3 linked regions of the Arabidopsis thaliana genome follow. The protein of the gene in region 1 purifies or fractionates together with the protein of each later gene. This does not show direct contact. Each region holds a gene or a part of one and is shown in the gene's direction. Other genes may lie near its edges.

Evidence for each region.
Region 2: the proteins of LIN2 (region 1) and GSA1 fractionate together in Arabidopsis thaliana (co-fractionation; one large-scale study listed by BioGRID). This does not show direct contact.
Region 3: the proteins of LIN2 (region 1) and GSA2 fractionate together in Arabidopsis thaliana (co-fractionation; one large-scale study listed by BioGRID). This does not show direct contact.

Annotation. Positions count from the first base shown.
Region 1 is NC_003070.9:869,536-873,288, reverse strand, and holds the start of LIN2 (Coproporphyrinogen III oxidase), read left to right. Parts: upstream 1-1,980; 5' UTR 1,981-2,113; coding exon 2,114-2,638; intron 2,639-2,717; coding exon 2,718-2,793; intron 2,794-2,881; coding exon 2,882-2,976; intron 2,977-3,061; coding exon 3,062-3,145; intron 3,146-3,326; coding exon 3,327-3,414; intron 3,415-3,506; coding exon 3,507-3,631; intron 3,632-3,736; coding exon 3,737-3,753. Other genes in the region: NAC006 (NAC domain containing protein 6), read right to left, coding at 383-549, 607-844, 896-997, 1,077-1,415. UniProt on the Arabidopsis thaliana protein: Key enzyme in heme biosynthesis. Catalyzes the oxidative decarboxylation of propionic acid side chains of rings A and B of coproporphyrinogen III.
Region 2 is NC_003076.8:25,449,800-25,453,552, forward strand, and holds the start of GSA1 (glutamate-1-semialdehyde-2,1-aminomutase), read left to right. Parts: upstream 1-2,000; 5' UTR 2,001-2,157; coding exon 2,158-2,340; exon of another isoform or gene 2,341-2,493; coding exon 2,494-3,312; intron 3,313-3,398; coding exon 3,399-3,753. Other genes in the region: FACT (HXXXD-type acyl-transferase family protein), read left to right, coding at 1-152, 590-1,435. UniProt on the Arabidopsis thaliana protein: Transaminase converting glutamate 1-semialdehyde (GSA) to 5-aminolevulinate (ALA). Involved in the biosynthesis of tetrapyrroles.
Region 3 is NC_003074.8:18,047,726-18,051,478, forward strand, and holds the start of GSA2 (glutamate-1-semialdehyde 2,1-aminomutase 2), read left to right. Parts: upstream 1-1,845; 5' UTR 1,846-1,971; coding exon 1,972-2,148; intron 2,149-2,406; coding exon 2,407-2,580; intron 2,581-2,657; coding exon 2,658-3,302; intron 3,303-3,402; coding exon 3,403-3,753. Other genes in the region: DCF (HXXXD-type acyl-transferase family protein), read left to right, coding at 710-1,570. UniProt on the Arabidopsis thaliana protein: Transaminase converting glutamate 1-semialdehyde (GSA) to 5-aminolevulinate (ALA). Involved in the biosynthesis of tetrapyrroles.

The DNA of each region.
Region 1 (3,753 bases):
TTTTTTGGTTTTCAAAACATTTGTTGGTCCTTTATGTTTGCTTATTTATCAATGGAACTCACAAATCACAATTAGTATTTTCGAATTTTATAATCTTTGAAAACCAAAAACATTACTTTTAAGTACACAATTGAAATTCATAGCTAAATAGTTAACATTACTGCTGCAACTCTATATTAATTGTAGAGTTATGGAAAAACAAAAGTACAAACTAAAATAAAGTTCGTTAAACTAGAATTTTACCCCGGAAAATCCACTATTTTTATGATATCTCCTTTACCGGAGTTACACAAATACACTAACCATATGTCTATAGTAATCTTTGTCACATATCAACTCAACCCACTAAAATATAATTCTATCCTCTCTGGTTTGTGTCGTATCATTTATCAACCCTAGTTAGATCAATAATCTCATAATTCCCCAATGCGAGGGCATCATTAGGATTGTTTATCAGTACCATCACATCATCTTTTTCTTGCTCTTGAGTAACGTCACAATCTTCTTGACGTTGTTGTTGTTGTTGTTGTTGTTGTTGTTGTTGAGTAACTTCGCGAGATTATTCTCCATCTAGCATCATCGTCTCAAGGTCATCATTAGCAAAACCGGTTAATTCAGCCTCTTCTGGCTGCTCACGATCTTCATGTCCCTCTAGCATCGTCTCAAGGCTATCAGCAAAACCGGTTAAATCAGCATCTTCTGGCTGCTCATGATCTTCTTGTCCCTCTAGCATCGTCTCAAGGCTATCAGCAAAACCGGTTAAATCAGCCTCTTCTTTCTGCTCACGGTCTTCTTGTCCCTCTAGCATCATCTCAAGCTGATCAGCAAAACCGGTTAAAGCATCCTCTTCTTACACTACTTGGTTCCGTAAGATGTTGTTGGTGTTCTCCGCCACCTGAGTCTGATGAGCCTGATGGTTAACGAGTCCAAACTCGTTGACGTTCGCCTCTTTCTTGTATCGGATCCGACACAAGACAACCTTTTGGAGGTCATCACTCTAGTGAAGAGAATACTCCATCTTCTGTCAATCGGTCTTGACAAGCTTTCCATGCACTCTCCTGTGGTACGTGAAAGACTGCTCGTAACCCATCACCCTTTTGCATGTGTCCGTCCTTGATCTCTTTTTTCCCATCGTTGCTTCTCCAAGTGCCGCCTTCGCTTCCTCCTCTTGCGGCTACCTTCCGGTGTACGCTTAATATCTTGCCACCTCGTTCAGTAAGCGGAACAAAGTAGTACCACTCGTTGTTATTGAACAAAGGATTGTTTACGTGAGGAAGAAGCCAAGGGTAGTCTTGGTGGATGTCCATAGTTGTTATGAAACTGCTCTGATTTCTCTCCACCTTGTTTCGAAGATAAAGCCTCACCAACCCTAGATCCGTCGGACAAAACCGTGATCCAACCGGAAGAATCTTCATATCGATCGTATAGATTCGAAGAAGAACTAGCTAAGGTACCTATATAATTGCTAAGGTTAAAAGTGCTCTTTCGTCTCTTGTGTAATACTGCTCTGTGAAGCAGGGTTTTCTTGAATTCCTCGCAGGTCAAGCGGCTGAACTCTCTATATGATCATGAATATATAGACAACGTGATGGGCCCAACCGGATTTTCTTTTGTCAGCGATTAACTATTTTTTGGAAAGAATAAGACGGTTGTAATTACATCTATTTGGTTATTTGAAATAATAATTAGATAGGATTCGAATCTATAATACACTTTTGTTTTGTTTATCACAGATTCTAACGATAGATAAAGATATATTACATGACCATGATTTATCCACATCAAAATAGCATAGTGCCGTAAACCGGCTAATCGTTTTGGGCCTAATTTGGGCAATTAAGCCCGTTAAGAAGGATAAGAGCCTATTGTGTATCAATATCTTCGGTTCGACCAAATTAAACCGCAATTTTAATTTCGTGTCTGGTTTGGTTTCGGCTAAATAATTCAGAAGTGGTTTAGTCTGAGAAGACTGGAACTGTGTTTTCTTTTACCTTGAGCTGTTAAATAAAAAGGAAGAGCGGTCAAAATCAGTGGACGACGAAGACTTCTTATCATTTAATATCTCTCCATCATCATCTTCTTCTTCAGCATCAAATCCAAATTCGGATCAAACATGGCTTCTCACTCGTCGACTCTCCTCTCTTCTCCTACTTTCGCTCCTTTCTCCTCTCATCGTCTTCATTATTCTCCCAATCCCTCTACTCTCAGATTCTCCCGTCCAATCAGAAATAAACCTAATCTCGCCTTGCGATGTTCAGTCTCAATTGAGAAAGAAGTTCCCGAAACTGAACGACCCTTTACTTTCCTTAGGGATTCTGATGACGTCACTCCATCTTCTTCTTCTTCTTCCGTCAGGGCTCGTTTCGAGACTATGATTAGGGCTGCTCAAGACAGTGTTTGTGATGCAATTGAAGCTATAGAAGGCGGTCCTAAGTTTAAAGAAGATGTTTGGTCTCGACCTGGTGGTGGCGGTGGAATCAGTCGTGTGTTGCAGGACGGGAATGTCTTTGAGAAAGCTGGTGTTAATGTCTCTGTGGTTTATGGTGTTATGCCTCCTGAAGCTTATAGAGCTGCAAAGGGCTCAGCTTCTGATCAGAAACCTGGTCCTGTTCCGTTCTTCGCTGCTGGAGTCAGCTCGGTAATGAATCTCTCCCTTCAATTTTACGATTCTTGGAGGTTCTCATGTTTTATCATTACGGATTTCTGTGTGATTCTAGGTTTTGCATCCCAAGAACCCTTTTGCCCCAACCCTGCATTTCAATTATCGCTATTTCGAGACAGATGCTCCAAAGGGTAAAAAAGCTAAAGTCTCAGTGAGATTGTAAAGTTGTTGTCTTTTGTTTGGACAACAGTCTTAAGTTTTTAATTTTCAACGGCGCAGATGTTCCTGGAGCTCCAAGGCAATGGTGGTTTGGTGGTGGCACTGATTTCACTCCTGCTTACATCTTTGAAGAAGATGTCAAGCATTTCCATTCGGTACTGAGCCTTATTCCTTGTTCTAAAGATATGAGCTTTGTGATCATGGAGTTGCTTTTATATAAACTGCTCTTTGTTGTTGTAGATTCAAAAGCAAGCCTGTGACAAATTTGACCCTTCCTTCTATCCCCGATTCAAGAAGTGGTGTGATGACTACTTTTACATCAAGGTAAGTTTTGTGAGATCCTGAAGCATTTTCTGGAACTGAGGGCCTTATTCTTTGAGTTGTGTTTAGGGATGTTATAGTCAAATCTGAGAGGGTAGAAACTGCTTAGAGAGACGTTCAGAAGCCTATTGTTAGTGTGAGGGCTTTGAAAACTTTTCTTAGAAATCTTTGATTTTGCTTGCAGCACCGTGATGAGAGACGAGGACTTGGAGGGATATTTTTTGATGATCTTAATGACTATGATCAGGAAATGCTTCTGTCATTTGCCACTGGTAAGGGACTGATTGTCCTCAATCTACAACAAACGATTTATTTTAATTGGTCTAGTTTCTTGGTAGACTAATTTAGCAATTGGTGTTTACAGAATGCGCAAACTCAGTGGTGCCGGCTTATATACCTATAGTAGAGAAAAGGAAAGACATGGAATTTACAGAGCAGCACAAGGCATGGCAACAGTTGCGACGAGGGCGATATGTCGAATTCAACTTGGTACTATGACCAAAACATTAGTCTTTTTCTCTGTTCTCACTCTCATCTCTCCAATCTTTCGTTATGAACCTTGTTCACTAATGTATTTGTAATGATGGATGGAAGGTATATGATCGGGGAAC
Region 2 (3,753 bases), on another chromosome or scaffold:
GAGTTGTAGTGGTGGAAGCTGAGGCCAATTGTGGGATAGAGAAGATAAAGAAGGCTATATCGGAGATTGATCAACCAGAGACTCTTGAAAAGTTGGTTTACGACGTTCCCGGTGCTCGGAATATTCTCGAGATTCCTCCAGTGGTTGTTCAGGTGAGGGGTTGATCGATTGATATTATGTTTTGCTTGCTGTTTTGTGTGAGTGAACGAACATGACCTATACTGGATTTGGTCCGATATTGGTTTCAAATAACTATATTATATAGTAGAATTAGATTAATATTGATTTTTTAATTATGCATGTACGTATAAATACGCTAATTAGTAAGAAAGAAAAAGATCCATACTATTATTCACTACAAAATACATAAATTTCATAACTTTTAATTCAAAAGTATTTATATTGGAACATATCCTAATTGACGTTTTTCCAAGATTGTTGTGTGATTGTCGACAAAATAAATTTTGGACATACTCGTTTTTTTTTGGGCAGTACATTCGAGTAAATACGATTGAAGAAATCATGCATTTTTAGTTGATCGAATACATTGTATACGATGCTTCCATACAAATTTTGGTTTGTTTGTTAGGTGACAAATTTCAAGTGTGGAGGGTTCGTGCTAGGACTAGGCATGAACCACAATATGTTCGATGGTATCGCAGCCATGGAGTTCCTCAACTCTTGGGCCGAGACGGCTCGTGGCCTTCCTCTCTCCGTTCCACCTTTCTTGGACCGCACACTTCTCCGACCACGAACCCCACCAAAGATCGAATTCCCACACAACGAGTTCGAGGACCTCGAAGACATCTCCGGCACCGGAAAACTCTACTCCGACGAGAAACTCGTCTACAAATCCTTCCTCTTCGGACCCGAAAAACTCGAGAGGCTTAAGATCATGGCAGAGACGAGATCCACGACTTTTCAAACCCTAACCGGGTTTCTGTGGAGAGCTCGTTGTCAAGCCTTAGGGCTTAAACCTGATCAACGGATCAAGCTTCTCTTTGCTGCAGATGGAAGGTCGAGATTCGTTCCGGAACTTCCTAAAGGATATTCCGGTAACGGGATTGTGTTCACTTATTGCGTTACAACGGCAGGTGAAGTGACTTTAAACCCTCTTTCTCATTCAGTGTGTTTGGTCAAAAGAGCCGTTGAAATGGTCAACGACGGTTTCATGAGGTCAGCGATTGATTACTTTGAGGTGACTCGAGCTAGGCCGAGCCTAACGGCAACACTTCTGATCACGTCGTGGGCAAAACTGTCGTTTCATACTAAGGATTTCGGTTGGGGTGAACCGGTTGTATCTGGACCGGTCGGTTTACCTGAGAAGGAAGTGATTCTGTTTCTGCCATGTGGTAGTGACACGAAGAGTATCAATGTGCTGCTTGGACTTCCTGGCTCGGCTATGAAAGTGTTCCAAGGGATTATGGATATATGAATCATTAAAATTATTTATGGTTTAATGTTTGAATTTAAATTAACTATGATTTAAAAAGCAAATAATGATGATATATCAATTACGTGTTTGTGGTCGTATGAAATATTGTTCGTCGGTGGAGCAAAAATGTAACTAAGATGTTAAAGTATCAAGTTTAATAAAGAAAGCTATTGTGTTTACTAAAATGTTGTTTGGTAAGAGCTCAAATCTTTGATTTTCTTCTTACAATACTTTTTCTGACATAGAGATCAATTACAACCTACAAGTCACACCTTACAAAATAAACTTATCACACATAGCAAAAATATTATCACGAAAATTAAATCGTTAGAATTGTCTTTTTTTGATCAACGATTTGTCTAAATTCTGAAATTTTATGGTTAAAAGAAAAAAATCATTTGTAAGATTATTTTTACATAAACCAAAATAGTAAAGCTTTATATTCGATCGTATTTGAGTAACAATTTTTAAATTTCACACAAATTCCATGCTTTTGAAAAGCACCAAATTTAAACGTATCATAAATCAATTTAACCCAATATTTTAAAATAAATTAAAATATTTGACTTGACTTTCGTATTCGGGTCGGATCCACCCGGATTTGACAAATAAAAACCCGGTGGTTGGCCATCGCCTTATCTTGTTGACTCTTCTTCAATCATAAGCCCACCCACTTCGATTACCAACTCCGACCGCCAGAGACAGCGAGTTTCAGATCAAAGATGTCGGCGACGCTTACAGGATCGGGAACTGCTTTGGGGTTTTCGTGTTCCTCGAAGATCTCGAAAAGAGTTTCTTCTTCACCAGCTTCTAACCGATGCTGCATCAAGATGTCTGTTTCCGTCGACGAGAAGAAGAAAAGTTTCAGTCTTCAGAAATCTGAGGAAGCTTTCAATGCTGCTAAGGTAAATTGATTTCGTCCCACCGATACTTTTTGATTCTGGTTGAAAATTTTCGGAAAAGATCAGATTTTGATGGACTTGACTGAATCATGCCTCTGTTTTGCGCATAGAAATGTGATTCTGAATGTTGAACAAATGGTGTCTTTTTCATGATAGAATCTAATGCCTGGAGGTGTGAATTCCCCTGTTCGAGCATTCAAATCCGTTGGTGGACAACCTGTTTTGATTGATTCTGTTAAAGGCTCAAAAATGTGGGACATTGATGGAAATGAGTATATTGACTACGTTGGCTCTTGGGGACCTGCTATTATTGGCCATGCTGATGACGAGGTTCTTGCGGCTCTAGCTGAGACGATGAAGAAAGGAACAAGCTTTGGTGCTCCTTGTCTCTTGGAGAATGTTTTAGCTGAGATGGTTATATCAGCTGTTCCCAGCATTGAAATGGTTCGGTTTGTTAATTCTGGTACTGAAGCGTGTATGGGTGTGCTTCGTCTTGCCAGAGCTTTCACTAACAAAGAGAAGTTCATTAAGTTTGAAGGGTGTTATCACGGTCATGCTAACGCCTTCCTTGTTAAAGCTGGTAGTGGTGTTGCCACTTTGGGGCTACCGGACTCTCCAGGTGTCCCTAAAGCAGCTACTTCAGATACTTTAACAGCTCCGTACAATGATCTTGAAGCTGTTGAGAAGCTCTTTGCTGCGCATAAAGGGGAGATTTCTGCGGTAATTCTCGAACCTGTTGTTGGTAACTCCGGATTCATCCCTCCTACTCCGGAATTCATCAACGGTTTACGCCAGCTTACTAAAGACAATGGTGTTCTTCTCATCTTCGATGAAGTCATGACTGGATTTCGTCTAGCCTATGGTGGAGCCCAAGAATACTTTGGAATCACGCCTGATCTAACTACTCTTGGTAAAATTATTGGTGGGGGTCTTCCCGTGGGAGCATACGGTGGTAGACGTGATATTATGGAGATGGTAAGATCTGGCTCTAGACCTTTAACAAGCTTCAAAACTAGGGGTGGCCATGTACCAATGTTGCTATTCTTTTTTTTTTTTTGTAGGTTGCTCCCGCTGGACCAATGTACCAAGCCGGGACTCTAAGTGGTAATCCGCTGGCAATGACTGCAGGGATTCACACGCTGAAGCGGCTAAAGCAGGCAGGAACATATGAGTATTTAGACAAGATCACGAAGGAACTAACCAACGGAATCTTAGAAGCCGGAAAGAAAACCGGGCATCCAATGTGCGGGGGTTACATAAGCGGTATGTTTGGATTCTTTTTCGCAGAAGGACCGGTTTACAACTTTGCAGACTCAAAGAAGAGCGACACAGAGAAGTTTGGTAGGTTTTTCAGGGGAATGTTGGAAGAAGGTGTTTACTTTGCACCGTCTCAGTTTGAGGCCGGGTTTACGAGCT
Region 3 (3,753 bases), on another chromosome or scaffold:
TCTGCGATTTTGAGGTCAAGGTGGGTCTGTGATTTTGAGATAATGAAATCGATTTGGGGATTTAGGGTTTAAATTTGTTTCAAGACAAAACGACGATGTTTTGTCTCTGCAATAAACGACGTTGTTTTGTTCTAACAGAGCAAATAAACGAGACATTAACGCCGTAAATTTTTTCTGTTAACCTATTTAACGACATGACTCAAATGGCAAGTCAACAAACACTTTGTCATTTATTTCGAAAGTCAACAAAAACTTTACGATTTATTTATCTTCCGTGAAGTTCAAAATTAAATCGTCCCAAATTTGAAAGACATTTTTCCCGAATATCATTTATGAATTATGATACAATGTTACTAAAAAAATCATTTTTATGTCTCATGCATGTAGTAACGAACACACACTAATATAGTAACAAATGATCAGACGTTACTCTTAAAAACTAGAGTGGTCATCATGTTCAAACTTTAAGGTACATTAGACCATCTAATTAGAACCATGCGTAATTAGTATTGTTAAGTAACCAAAAGAAATAACGACGATCAATAGTAAGTTTTTTTTTTTTGTGTGTGTAACCAATAGGTAGTACTTAAGTTAAATGTATATTATTTCATTCCTATTTCTTTAAATTGGTATCGATTCATTCTAAAATGTTGCATGGATTTTTTTTAACATCTTTAGATAAAGTTTTATGTTCCGTTTTTTTTTTCAGGTGACAAATTTCAAATGTGGGGGTTTTGTCCTAGGACTAGGCATGAGCCACAACATGTTCGATGGAGTCGCCGCTGCGGAGTTCCTCAACTCGTGGTGCGAGATGGCCAAGGGTCTTCCTTTATCCGTCCCACCATTCTTGGACCGTACGATTCTCCGGTCACGAAACCCTCCCAAAATCGAGTTCCCACACAATGAATTCGACGAAATTGAAGATATTTCCGACACCGGAAAAATCTACGATGAAGAAAAACTCATCTACAAATCATTTCTTTTCGAACCCGAAAAGCTTGAGAAGCTCAAGATCATGGCGATTGAAGAAAATAACAATAATAAGGTATCAACATTTCAAGCCTTAACCGGGTTTCTTTGGAAATCAAGATGCGAAGCTCTACGGTTTAAACCGGACCAACGGGTTAAGCTTCTGTTTGCGGCGGATGGACGGTCAAGATTCATCCCACGTCTCCCGCAAGGATATTGCGGGAACGGGATTGTGTTAACCGGTTTGGTGACATCATCGGGAGAATTAGTTGGGAACCCTCTTTCTCACTCGGTGGGTTTGGTCAAGAGACTGGTGGAGCTGGTTACGGACGGCTTCATGCGGTCGGCTATGGACTACTTCGAGGTGAACCGGACACGGCCGAGTATGAACGCGACACTTTTGATTACATCCTGGTCAAAATTGACATTGCATAAACTGGATTTCGGTTGGGGAGAACCGGTTTTCTCTGGACCGGTTGGTTTACCAGGGAGGGAAGTGATCTTGTTCTTACCAAGTGGTGATGATATGAAGAGTATCAATGTGTTTCTTGGCCTTCCTACTTCAGCTATGGAAGTGTTTGAAGAGCTTATGAAGATCTGAAAAAGAACATACATTTTCATAATCAAATTATGATATATTCTACCAAATTATAAGCAAAGGAAAATTATAATCTAGTCATTATTTATACATGTTATATTTGAATTCACGTTTGTATCCATTACAAAAATTTATGTAATTCGCAGAAAATATATATATGTCAAATTAAGTTATCGGACCGGATCGGGTCAAAGAAACCGGATTGGTTAACAAAGTCAAACAAACAAATATTGACTTGAGTTTCAGATTCCAGTAAAATCAAACCGGATCGGGTCTGAATTTAAACCACCGGGTCGGCTCCATCTAAAATCTGAAGATCATCTCCGCCTTATCTTGTTGACTATCTCTGTACTACTTACGAGCGCAAGTGAGAGAGTAACAGAGAAACGTAGAGATATAGCAAAATGGCTGCGACGCTTACTGGATCAGGGATTGCTCTAGGGTTTTCGTGCTCCGCAAAGTTCTCTAAGAGAGCTTCTTCGTCGTCCAACCGTCGCTGCATCAAGATGTCGGTTTCGGTAGAGGAGAAGACGAAGAAATTCACTCTTCAGAAATCTGAGGAAGCTTTCAATGCTGCGAAGGTTAGGCTTTTCAATTTCCATGAATTCAGTCAATAAGAAATGTTTCTTCAGATTGATTACGCCTTGATGTTCTGTTGCTTTGGTTTTGTGGGATTTGATCATATTTTTGGTTAAAGTGATTATCTTTGTTACCCTTCAAGGAACATTGCTAACAAAATAAGATTACTTGAGATAGAATCATAATCTGAGATAAAGTTTTTGTTTTTATTGGTTTCATTCTGTTCTGATTATTGAAATTGGTTTGGTTCCTTTGTGTAGAACTTAATGCCTGGAGGTGTGAACTCACCTGTACGTGCTTTCAAATCTGTTGGTGGACAACCAGTGGTGATGGATTCTGCAAAGGGCTCACGAATAAGAGACATTGATGGAAATGAATACATTGACTATGTTGGATCTTGGGGACCTGCTATAATTGGTCATGCTGATGATGAGGTTTGTTTCTTTCCAGTTTTGATGATTTTTAGATAGCTGAAAGTTTAGTAGTTGATACGGTGATGTGTCTAGTGCAGGTTCTTGCTGCTTTGGCTGAGACAATGAAGAAAGGAACAAGCTTTGGTGCTCCTTGTCTCTTAGAGAATGTTCTTGCTGAGATGGTGATTTCAGCTGTTCCAAGTATTGAAATGGTTCGGTTTGTTAACTCCGGTACAGAGGCATGTATGGGTGTGCTACGTCTTGCTCGTGCCTTCACAGGGAAACAAAAGTTCATCAAGTTTGAAGGTTGTTATCATGGTCATGCAAACTCTTTCCTTGTCAAAGCAGGTAGTGGTGTAGCTACTTTGGGTCTACCTGACTCGCCTGGGGTCCCCAAAGCAGCTACTTCAGATACTTTAACAGCTCCATACAATGATATTGCTGCTGTTGAGAAGCTTTTTGAGGCAAACAAAGGAGAGATTGCTGCCATCATTCTTGAACCTGTTGTTGGTAACTCGGGTTTTATTACACCTAAACCAGAGTTCATTGAGGGAATACGCCGGATCACTAAAGACAATGGTGCTCTTCTTATTTTCGATGAAGTCATGACTGGTTTTCGTTTAGCCTATGGTGGAGCTCAAGAATACTTTGGAATCACACCTGACTTAACAACTCTTGGGAAAATCATCGGTGGTGGTCTTCCTGTGGGAGCATACGGTGGAAGAAGAGACATCATGGAAATGGTAAAGCTAGAGTTGTTAACAATTGAACCGAATAATCTTTTGAATTTGCTGCAAGAGATTGAGAAAGTCCTGATCCTTTATCACTCATGTCTTTTTGCAGGTTGCACCCGCAGGACCGATGTATCAAGCTGGTACGCTAAGTGGTAATCCGTTGGCTATGACAGCGGGTATACACACGCTGAAGCGGTTAAGTCAGCCAGGGACATATGAATACTTAGACAAGATCACAAAAGAGCTTACAAATGGGATACTAGAAGCCGGGAAGAAAACCGGGCATGCGATGTGTGGCGGTTACATAAGCGGGATGTTCGGTTTCTTCTTCACGGAAGGACCCGTCTATGATTTCTCGGATGCAAAGAAGAGTGATACAGAGAAGTTTGGAAAGTTTTTCAGAGGAATGTTGGAAGAAGGTGTCTACTTGGCACCTTCTCAATTCGAGGCCGGTTTTACT